Linked DNA regions of Arabidopsis thaliana. The protein of the gene in region 1 purifies or fractionates together with the protein of each later gene. This does not show direct contact. Each region holds a gene or a part of one and is shown in the gene's direction. Other genes may lie near its edges. The genes, in order: AT2G32220, AT2G43460 and AT3G45930.

Region 1 (2,976 bases):
GTTGATTTAATTATTTATTACTACTTTTTTTATTTTATTACAACTTAGTTTGTAATAGTAAAATTTATTCTACTTTGTGCCCAAAACTGTCAATTGTTGTTCATTTAAATTTCTGGAATTAGATTTAGATACGCTAAATTAAATCACATTTTGCGTTTATATTCCCACCTAATTTGAAACCAGCAATTATTCTTCTTCATAAGAAAACTTTCATGTGCTCTCTCGAAAATAAAGTTTTACTCTAATAACAACACGCACTTTGGACGAGATAAAGCGATTCAAGTAAAATTATTATGGTTCAAACTATTATCTAAGATCCGTTTGTGTAAAACATAACTTCTAATAACATATATATTCTGATCTACTTTTGTTAGTTTTTATTAGTTAATATAAGCGTTAATTATTGTTCTCTCTTTTGCTTAACATGTAAATATTCCCATGGAGAAAGAAGTACACTTTTTGCTTTGAGAAAGAATAAAAAAACTCTTTATTATTACTAAATCAAGAAAAATATAAAACCATGCTGCATTTATCATCATTTTACATATTCTATATATAAGGTTCTCTAATTCGTATACTTTTGTAAATAGAGAACAACGAATTAAAAGACCAAATCGATAGCATCTTACCTTTTTGTTGATATTTATTAAGAGAAAAAATCAACACATTGTTATTCTTCAAGAGAATAAATTTCTGGAGACTTAGCAGTTAATGCAATCTGACCTCACGCGTTTTTTTTTTTTGACCTCACGCGGTTTTACTAAACCGACCTTCGTTTACTTCCCTTACCTCTCTATATATATATCTCTATCTTCATTTGCATATTTCAATTCATTTCATAATCATACACCTCTCTACATTTGTTACTACTTTCTTCTAACTTGTTTTCAAAGAGAAATCACAATCTATCTGTTCCAAGATGAGTCAATACAGCCAAAACCAATCTTCAGGTTTGTATTCTTTTCTTCGTACTAATTTAGCATCAGACCATATGTTTAGTCAATATTCTCATGGTTATAATCATATTTGCAGTTTCATAGTAGTAAGTACTTTTTTAAATGGTAATAAGACTAATGTGAAATATGAATAACTTATAGGAGCTTATCCTACGCCGCCAGTGTCTACCGGCCCTTACGTGGCACCGCCACCGCTAGGTTACCCAACGAACGACACAAGTCATGCCACGGTGGCAACGGTGGAGACAAAGTCCAAGGGTGATGGATTCTTAAAAGGCTGGTTAGTCTTCTTTTTCTAGTATAAACCAGGCATGCACGTTTGGTTAACTATCAAACCGGTTCGGTTATCGTGTGTTGCATTGATTAATTTGTTTTCTTTCATTTTTTGAATGCAGTCTTGCGGCCATGTGTTGTTGTTGTGTCCTCGACGCATGCTTCTGAAGACTTAGATGGTTTATTTTGATTATCTTTGTATTTTGCTTTACCAAAATGATTCGACTAGGTTTATGACATTTGGTACTTCTATTTGTTAATTCATTTCTATATCACTCTTTCTTTTGCATTGTGTAATTTTATAAATTCTTAATATATCGTTTGTTTTCTCTTAGACATCTTCTAAACCACGCTAGATTCACATTTTTGACTTTATTACCGGTTAGTCAACGTGGACTTAAAATCAATTTAATAACACTATATAAGCCAAAGTTATAAACAATTAAAACTCTTGGGGTTAGAATGCAAATAATGAACAAATCGATGCGTATAAATATCTCCCGATAAAGCCCTAGAATCCAAGGAAGCGCCGAGAGAAAGACAGAGAAGAGAGTGACAATGGTGAAATGTATGAAGCCAGGAAAAGCCGTGATCCTTTTACAAGGACGATACACCGGTAAAAAGGCGGTGATCGTGAAATCCTTCGATGACGGTACCGTTGAGAAGAAGTACGGTCACTGTCTCGTCGCCGGATTGAAGAAGTACCCAAGCAAAGTCATTCGCAAGGATTCGGCAAAGAAGACGGCTAAGAAATCGCGCGTGAAATGCTTCTTCAAGGTCATCAATTACCAGCACGTGATGCCTACGCGCTACACTCTTGATTTGGATCTGAAGAACGTTGTCTCCGCCGACGCGATCTCGTCCAAGGATAAGAAAGTGACGGCTCTTAAGGAAGCGAAGGCGAAGTTTGAAGAGAGGTTTAAGACTGGCAAGAACAGATGGTTCTTCACCAAGCTTAGGTTTTGAATTCTACAGTTTTTAATTTTAGTTTTAAAGTTTCAATTTTTATCTACCATGAATTGTTTTTGCTTCTGGTTTAGCTCAAGGTTATGTTTTGTTCTAAATTTCAGTAATATATATTCAATTTTGATGGTTAAAGTTTTAATCTTTCTAGTAACTCTTCATTGTGAGACATTTCTTTCAATCTTGTGGTTAATGAAACACAAATTTATTAAGAAATGAAGAATCAATGTCAGATGATACAACAAGGATTAAAAAAATTCAAGGTGTTTTGGATCTTTTTGCGCATAACCATTGCCTTGATGTTTGGAGATCATCTTCTACGCTCATTGGTACATGCCAGGTTCCATCTTCAGACTCCTGCATCATTCATCAATCAATCATCATCATTAATGCAAAATGCATACGAAAACATTGAGATGGACATAGAAATGTGAGTGTTGACCTGTATAACAATGGAGTATGGAGGTGGCATATTAAGTTTGAGTCCATCTTCTCTAGTGACAGAGATCCGAACCTGCAAACATTGAATCCAGTATCAATCAAAAGCTTATGTATATACATTACATAGACTCTTATATTATATGTTACCTGATGCTTCTCTTTCCACCTTGGGAAGAAACTATTTCCAAGTAACTGGAAGAGATGGTCTCTCATCTCATCGTTTGTTACTAACAAACATTTGCAACTTACCGCAGCGTAAAGCCAATACCTAGAACAATTTGATTTCACATAAGAAATGGTTGTCTTTTTTGGATTATTCATGGTCAATGTAATTCATAGACCC
Region 2 (3,762 bases), 4.4 Mb from region 1:
AAGGCAACATTGGTACTGGGGTAATCAGAGTCATCGATGCTTAGCTTTTGGTTTGCTTTTGATTGTTAAAAGTTTTGTTCACTTTGCAATATTCTAACAGGCCTTGAAGGATGTATTTTCCGAGCTTCAAGTTCAAGAGCCCTTATTCTCCCTCATGAAAGGTTAAAACTTCCTCTTTTTAGCTTGGCAATGTCAATATCAAGTGGTAAGAGTTCTTGATCAGATTTTTGGGTTGCTTAATTTAAATGGATATATTAGATGGCATCAAAACAGTTGAAGCAAGGTGTTTTGAAGAAGAGTATGATAGGTAGGAGAAGTGAAAAGTTATTGAGCTGGATTACTTCTGTGTCTCTTGTGTTCACAAATGTTGTTTGGTTTCCTCAGAATTCGGAGAGGAGGTTCAATGGTTATGATAAATAAATGTCTAATGTTTGAAGTTCTGGTGAGATATATTTGCCGACATCATGCTTTTGTGTTCCTGCAAACGATTTCTTGTGATTGATTCTCTTAAATGTTGATATATAGGAACTTCACCAATATGCATCCTTTTACGAGCTGTTGAAAGCCGAGAGTTCAGAGAAAGTGTTTCCTGGCACTAAAACAGTGGAAGAAGGTAAGCTTTTTTCTTTGTCTGATCCTTAGCCATTAACTTCTGTTTCAAAGATTTCAAATTTTTTTAGGTATGCAAATGTTTAGGAAGTTATATGATACGGATCAAGAGAATTTCAATGGTGTTGTGGCAATCCATCTTAGTAAATCAGTTGCTCAGCCTTGTGTTGCTTTGGCTCACATACTGTCTGTGAGTTCAAGTTTTTCTCAGCCTTCTCCTTGTGATTTATGATTCTTATTATTCAATGTTTCTTACAAAAACATCATTTAAATGGCAGGGCTTGAGTTACACTGGCGTGCAAAACCTTCTCGGTCTATCTCACACAACTGGATCCATTTTTCATGCTCTGCCTCCTCCTAGATCGATGCTACTCTCTTCATTCATGCTTCCATATAAGCCAAAGGTACCACAAAAACTAAGATATAGTTCGAGAGACATCGTAGTGAATCTTTTGGGGAATGGTTAAGCTGTGTTGTGTGAGATCAAATTTAGAATCTTTCTTTTTTCCTATTGTTGAGATAAAAGGTTGTAGATTGAGCCATGGAGCTAGAGCATTAGCCAAGCATGTTGATCGAAGTAGCGATGGATTTTGGGGTGTTCTTCAGGGAACTGGTAAGTAACAAATTTTTGCAGGACACTGATGCATTTCCATAATTGAGTCTTCCTCTTCCTTTTCTCAGATTCAGATAAAAATGAGCGTGCAATGGACATAATCAATCGGTTCATTGGCAATTGTTGTTGGATGAACATACATATCGTTCCACCACATGGTGAAGTGTTCGAGATAAGAGTAGCTCAAGGCTATGGAGCACGTTGGTCTCGAGATGGAACCAAAGTATGTATATTTTGAGACTTGAAGTATGTATCTTTCAGACGTGTCTGATCATCAATTGTTTTGTTGCTGTTTATTTTTATTGGCAGTTCATTGGATTTCTTGAGCCTTACATGGAGGATGGTCACTCCATGGCCTGGAAGCATTAAGACCGCACCTGTAAACATCTCTGTGTCTTTAGGACTTTGTGAACTTTCTCTTGTAGTTGAATCGTTTTTTCTTTCAACAAGTGTAAATTTGTAACGCTTCTTTTCTTGTGACAAAAAAAATCAAATTTTTTTTTTTTCTAAGAAGGATTTTGTGGTTGATCTTGTTATGATTAGGGTATGAAAAGAAAATATGAGGACCAAAGTGTTAAGACAAACTGTAAATTGGGCAAAACTGTGAAGGGACATTAAAGCGATATATGATTGGGCCTTAAAGCCCATTGTTTGATAAATCGTCCAGAGGGTAAATATGGAATTTCAGGTTTACGAATTAGGGCTTCTTGATACAAAGTTTTTAAGAGATCTCTTTATATCCTCGCGACGGCGAATTCGCTCGACTCTCTCTGTGGACGGCGGCTAGTTTCAACCAACAGATTCGAGAATGGTACAATATTTCTCGGTCTTTCGATTTCGTTTCATATCGCCGTCATGGATGCTTATGATTTGGTTTTCATAGCTCGTTTGCAATCATTCATAGTGTAGTAGAGCTGTTCCTGTATCTTAAGAGTTTTCTCAAAAAATGTAGATTTTTGTATCATTTTCAGCTTTGATTATTGCTTCTTACTTTGTTTAGGATATAGTGAAACGTGTAGGTTTTAGTGAATTAACCAAAAACCTAGGTCAGAGTTTGCTTAATGTGTTTGATGTGCTGAGCTCGTGTCTGCTTATCATGTGATTAACTTTTGATTGGTTGGGATTATTGAATCTTGTATTGAATTTTGATTGATTAATTTGATTAATGTTTGCAGCCTAAGCAAATCCACGAGATCAAGGACTTCCTTCTGACAGCTAGAAGGAAAGATGCACGATCTGTGAAGATCAAGAGAAGCAAGGATATTGTCAAGTTTAAGGTCAGATGCTCGAGGTACCTCTACACGCTCTGCGTCTTTGACCAAGAGAAAGCCGACAAGCTTAAGCAGTCTCTTCCTCCAGGTTTTTTATTCTTCTTAACTCTGCTCAATTTACATTGTTCTCTACTACACTGCATAAATTCTCACACTTTAGATCATTTTAAAACCTTGATGAAATTTGAGTTTGGCATATGGGTTCGAAACAACCTGTCTTTGCTTAATTACATTGCGTGTGTATTGCAACATTCAACATTATTGGATTCATTATGTTATATGGACTTTAAATATAGCTGTGCCTTGAGTTTCATTGTTTGAATTTTGCTAAGTATTTATGTACGTTAAAGTAAGCTTCTTCATCACACAATTTCCGTTGTAAATTTTTCTGAGTTTGGCATTTGATTGCTAAACCCAGCTTTGCTTTGGCTTTAGTATGTTACTATGTTTTTGAAAAGTATCTTCATTCTCATATCTGTTGTACGCGTGTTCTGAGGTGTGGACTATGTTGCACTTTTTCAGGTTTGAGTGTACAAGACCTTTGAAGATGAAGCAAAGTTCTTCTGCAGATTGGAGTTCCTTTGGTGACGAATCCTTTGCATCATTTTATAATTTCCTTAGGAGAGTTTATTTTGTGTCGTTAAATTTATGTTGAGACTTTTCGAGTTTGAGTGTGTTTTGGATTTAATTCAGTTTGAAAAACCAAATACGTTCTCAACTCTGGATTCAATTTGGATTTTTATTTTCAGACTTGAGAGTTGGTACCTTCTCCATCATTTATAATAACAATCACATTCATTAAATGAATCATAACCAAATTACTCCTTGATCTTAGCACTAACTACGATTTTAGGTTATATACTTTTCGACATATCATTTGAATTATAGCATAATAGTCTCAAAACATGTAAAAACCTCATGATAGCACCAAATTTGCAGTATCATGCTTGAGGTGTTGTTGTTATTCGAAACAATCAAATCCATGGGGACCAGGCCCAATTGGAGCTTGGGCTTTTTGGTATATATATTTGTTGGCCTTTGGTGAATCTTCCTTGATCTTAACATTTTCTCTCTATGCGGTTCTCTGTTCTCTTGTTAATTACTTGTTGTTTCCGTAATGGGCCCAAACGCCTTTAAAAGTCAAATTTATTGCTTCAGAGTTGAAAAAATTCAAAAATCAGATTAGTTTGCACACAAATCATCGCGCCGAGAAGCAGAGGTTAGTTATGAGTCTTAGTTATGGAGTCGCAATTCTAAATCTCCATTTTC
Region 3 (3,356 bases), on another chromosome or scaffold:
TATATTTGAATATATTTTACTAAATTTTGACAAACATAACATATAATTTTTGAATAGTTTAGTTGTTTTGGATATTTAGGTCCAAAATTAATTGACATATTTAGATTTATAATTATAATCCTAGATAATTAGATAATATTACGATTAAATATAATTAATATTTTGGATATTAAATTAATGTTTGGGTTTTTGAATACTCTTTTTGGGTAACGGGTAATTTCTGGACCAGTCGGATATCCACGGGTTTACTAAAACTCTACCCAATAAGGAATTTCCTAAAATTTTAACCCGCCCTAACCCGGTTTTTTGGTTCGGATATTGGGTTGGTTATCGGATCCGTTTTTTCGTCAGCTCTATCAAAGATAATCTAATATAGGCCCCAATTAGGTCCACAAATATAACCAAAATACTATACAAAGACGAATTCTAAGTTAGGCCAAAAATTAGATCATCTAATACAAAGAAAACATGTTTCTTACCAAAACAACTTGTATAAAATTTTTACACATTTACTTAAAACTACATATGTTGTATTTATTATAAAAATAATATTTTTAAACAAAGTCAATCCAATGCAGCATTATATGCAAATAGTAAAAACATTGAAAAATATTATGATATCACTTTTATATTATACTATTTTTTATGTAATTCAAACAAAATATACAATTTAATTTATACAATATTAATGCCCGTACTGTATGATCTAGTTACATTTATATTTTAAAATGCTGTACATGAAATTTTAGTACATATAAGAAGTCGATGCTTTGTCACCAATCGAAACCCAGCAATGGTTTAATACTCTTTTTAAGTTTAATTATATTATAGTAATTAGTTCAATATCCTCCCATATAAATCATGACTTCATCTTGATCTAAACTTGATAATAAAAATCTTTTGATATGTAGGAAACATGGTGGCTCTGTTTTAAATTGGGATACCAGATTGCAAATAGCTAGCGAAGCTGCATTAGGATTATAATACTTGCATACTAGATGCAAACCAGCAATGGTGCATAGAGATGTCAAAAGTATAAATATATTATTGGATGAAGAGTTCAAGGCCAAAATTTCGGATTTTGGACTCTCTAGATCGTTTCAAGTTGGAGGCGATCAACCTCAAGTTTCAACAGTTGTTGTTGGTACTCTAGGATACCTTGATCCCGAGTAAGCATTTTAATCATTTTGCATCATGGTCTAAATATGTTACATTTGTTTCAAGTGGTTAGAGAATTGTAGATTAAATATGAATCACACTCCATTTTCTTGCCTTTACAGATATTACTTAACAAGTGAGTTATCCGAGAAGAGTGATGTCTACAGTTTCGGGATCTTGTTACTAGAGATTATCACAAACCAACGAGTGATTGATCAAACCCGTGAAAACCCTAACATAGCAGAATGGGTTACATTTGTGATCAAGAAAGGAGATACTAGTCAAATTGTGGATCCTAAACTTCACGGAAACTATGACACCCACTCTGTCTGGAGAGCTCTTGAAGTAGCAATGTCATGCGCAAATCCTTCTTCAGTCAAACGACCAAACATGTCTCAAGTAATCATCAATCTTAAAGAGTGTCTTGCATCTGAAAACACGAGGATAAGTAGGAATAATCAAAACATGGACTCTGGTCATAGCTCGGATCAGCTTAATGTGACTGTGACCTTTGATACTGATGTGAAGCCTAAGGCAAGATAGTATATACGTGGATCTTCTCTAATGTGACATAAACCAAACCTTTCGATGTATAACTTTATGTTATTAGTTAACCATTGTGAAATAATTTTGTTTTATTTACTTGTGTTAAATATGAATATTACCCGTTCGTAATATATATATGTGAAATGTTATAACGAAATTTTTTGTTCTATGATGATTTAATTTCGTTAGTAACGGTGAAAAGAATTTGGCGCTATATTCCTCAATCCGTGGCGCTTATTTGAAAATTTCATAAACTTTCACTTACAGGCATCACGGGGATCGACAATATTAAGCGTCGATAAAATTAAATCAACGGCTAATAAGTAATCTCATTGTTCACCCGGATCGTTATCTGCAACCGTTAGATCTAAAAACACATCTGATGGTTCAAATCAATTAGATCCATCTTGTATATAAATGACATCTCCTCTTAACAAAATTCTCAAATCATCTCAATCTCAATTAAATCTTCAAATCGAAAAATTTCCGAAGAAAAATTCAAGTTCCTTTAGAAAATGTCAGGTCGTGGAAAGGGAGGCAAAGGTTTGGGCAAAGGTGGAGCCAAACGTCATAGGAAGGTTCTGAGAGACAACATCCAAGGAATCACTAAACCGGCGATTCGGAGATTGGCTCGTAGAGGTGGTGTTAAACGTATTAGTGGTCTGATCTACGAAGAGACACGTGGCGTTCTCAAGATCTTTTTGGAGAATGTTATCCGTGACGCCGTTACTTACACTGAGCACGCTCGGAGGAAGACGGTGACTGCTATGGATGTTGTTTATGCTCTTAAGAGACAAGGAAGAACTCTCTACGGATTCGGCGGCTAGGGTTTTTGATTGTTGTTTTTTGTGTTTCTACGTTTATTAGGATGTTAATTTTCAGGATTTGGTGTTAACTTCGAAAAAATTAAAGAATTGAAGGTTGTTGTTGCAATTTCGTGATTGTTGAAGGTGTTGTTGCAAACTTTTAGTAATTTCAGTTTCTCGATGCTTGTTTAGTATCCTTTGAACACGACGCAATATCAAAATTAGTGAATCTCACAAGTACAAATGTCTTGGTCAGAAATAATAACCGGATCGGTTTAGATCGGGTTAGTATCAAATTGGGTTTGCCGTGAACCCCAACCAAATTAAACCCCTATGTCTTTGGTCCATTTGTTGGAGAATAATATGTATTTTAATACTTGATCACAATAGTGTTACACTAACAAAAGACATGGCCTCAAGAAGACTTGGAAGACACATAAAAACGTAGCACCCAAGAAACAACCAAAGGAACAACTATATGTATAATTGTTGTGATTCTCACATTCTCTCTATCTCTTGTTCTGTTTTTGGTTTACTTGTTCTAGAGAGAAAGAACAAGAACACATTTACTTTTAAGACTACATTGTTAATATCTTGGATAATCTTACACAACATAAACACACACATACATATAGTGGTTTTTCTCCACTTGCTACACTACACACACTTAGACTCTAGACCACATCACTGTCCTAAGACTTACATCAGCCACTCTACTATGTTGGAACTCCTAACTCCTTAATTCACTCTTACACAACATGACTCTATCTTAGACTAACAAGTAACAACACAACACTTATTCGTTATGTTGGACCTTAACTAGACAACAACAAAACACTTATTCGT

The links.
Region 2: the proteins of AT2G32220 (region 1) and AT2G43460 fractionate together in Arabidopsis thaliana (co-fractionation; one large-scale study listed by BioGRID). This does not show direct contact.
Region 3: the proteins of AT2G32220 (region 1) and AT3G45930 fractionate together in Arabidopsis thaliana (co-fractionation; one large-scale study listed by BioGRID). This does not show direct contact.

The regions. Positions count from the first base shown.
Region 1 is NC_003071.7:13,677,158-13,680,133, forward strand, and holds AT2G32220 (Ribosomal L27e protein family), read left to right. Parts: upstream 1-1,752; 5' UTR 1,753-1,787; coding exon 1,788-2,195; 3' UTR 2,196-2,366; downstream 2,367-2,976. Other genes in the region: AT2G32210 (cysteine-rich/transmembrane domain A-like protein), read left to right, coding at 920-950, 1,098-1,236, 1,352-1,397; PRORP1 (proteinaceous RNase P 1), read right to left, coding at 2,451-2,549, 2,635-2,706, 2,781-2,901.
Region 2 is NC_003071.7:18,045,561-18,049,322, reverse strand, and holds AT2G43460 (Ribosomal L38e protein family), read left to right. Parts: upstream 1-1,921; 5' UTR 1,922-2,030; coding exon 2,031-2,033; intron 2,034-2,397; coding exon 2,398-2,581; intron 2,582-3,015; coding exon 3,016-3,038; 3' UTR 3,039-3,358; downstream 3,359-3,762. Other genes in the region: AT2G43465 (RNA-binding ASCH domain protein), read left to right, coding at 101-161, 259-307, 385-442, 526-613, 681-799, 888-1,013, 1,129-1,222, 1,291-1,445 and 1 more.
Region 3 is NC_003074.8:16,881,171-16,884,526, forward strand, and holds AT3G45930 (Histone superfamily protein), read left to right. Parts: upstream 1-2,145; 5' UTR 2,146-2,219; coding exon 2,220-2,531; 3' UTR 2,532-2,839; downstream 2,840-3,356. Other genes in the region: AT3G45920 (Protein kinase superfamily protein), read left to right, coding at 1,012-1,169, 1,281-1,701. UniProt on the Arabidopsis thaliana protein: Core component of nucleosome. Nucleosomes wrap and compact DNA into chromatin, limiting DNA accessibility to the cellular machineries which require DNA as a template.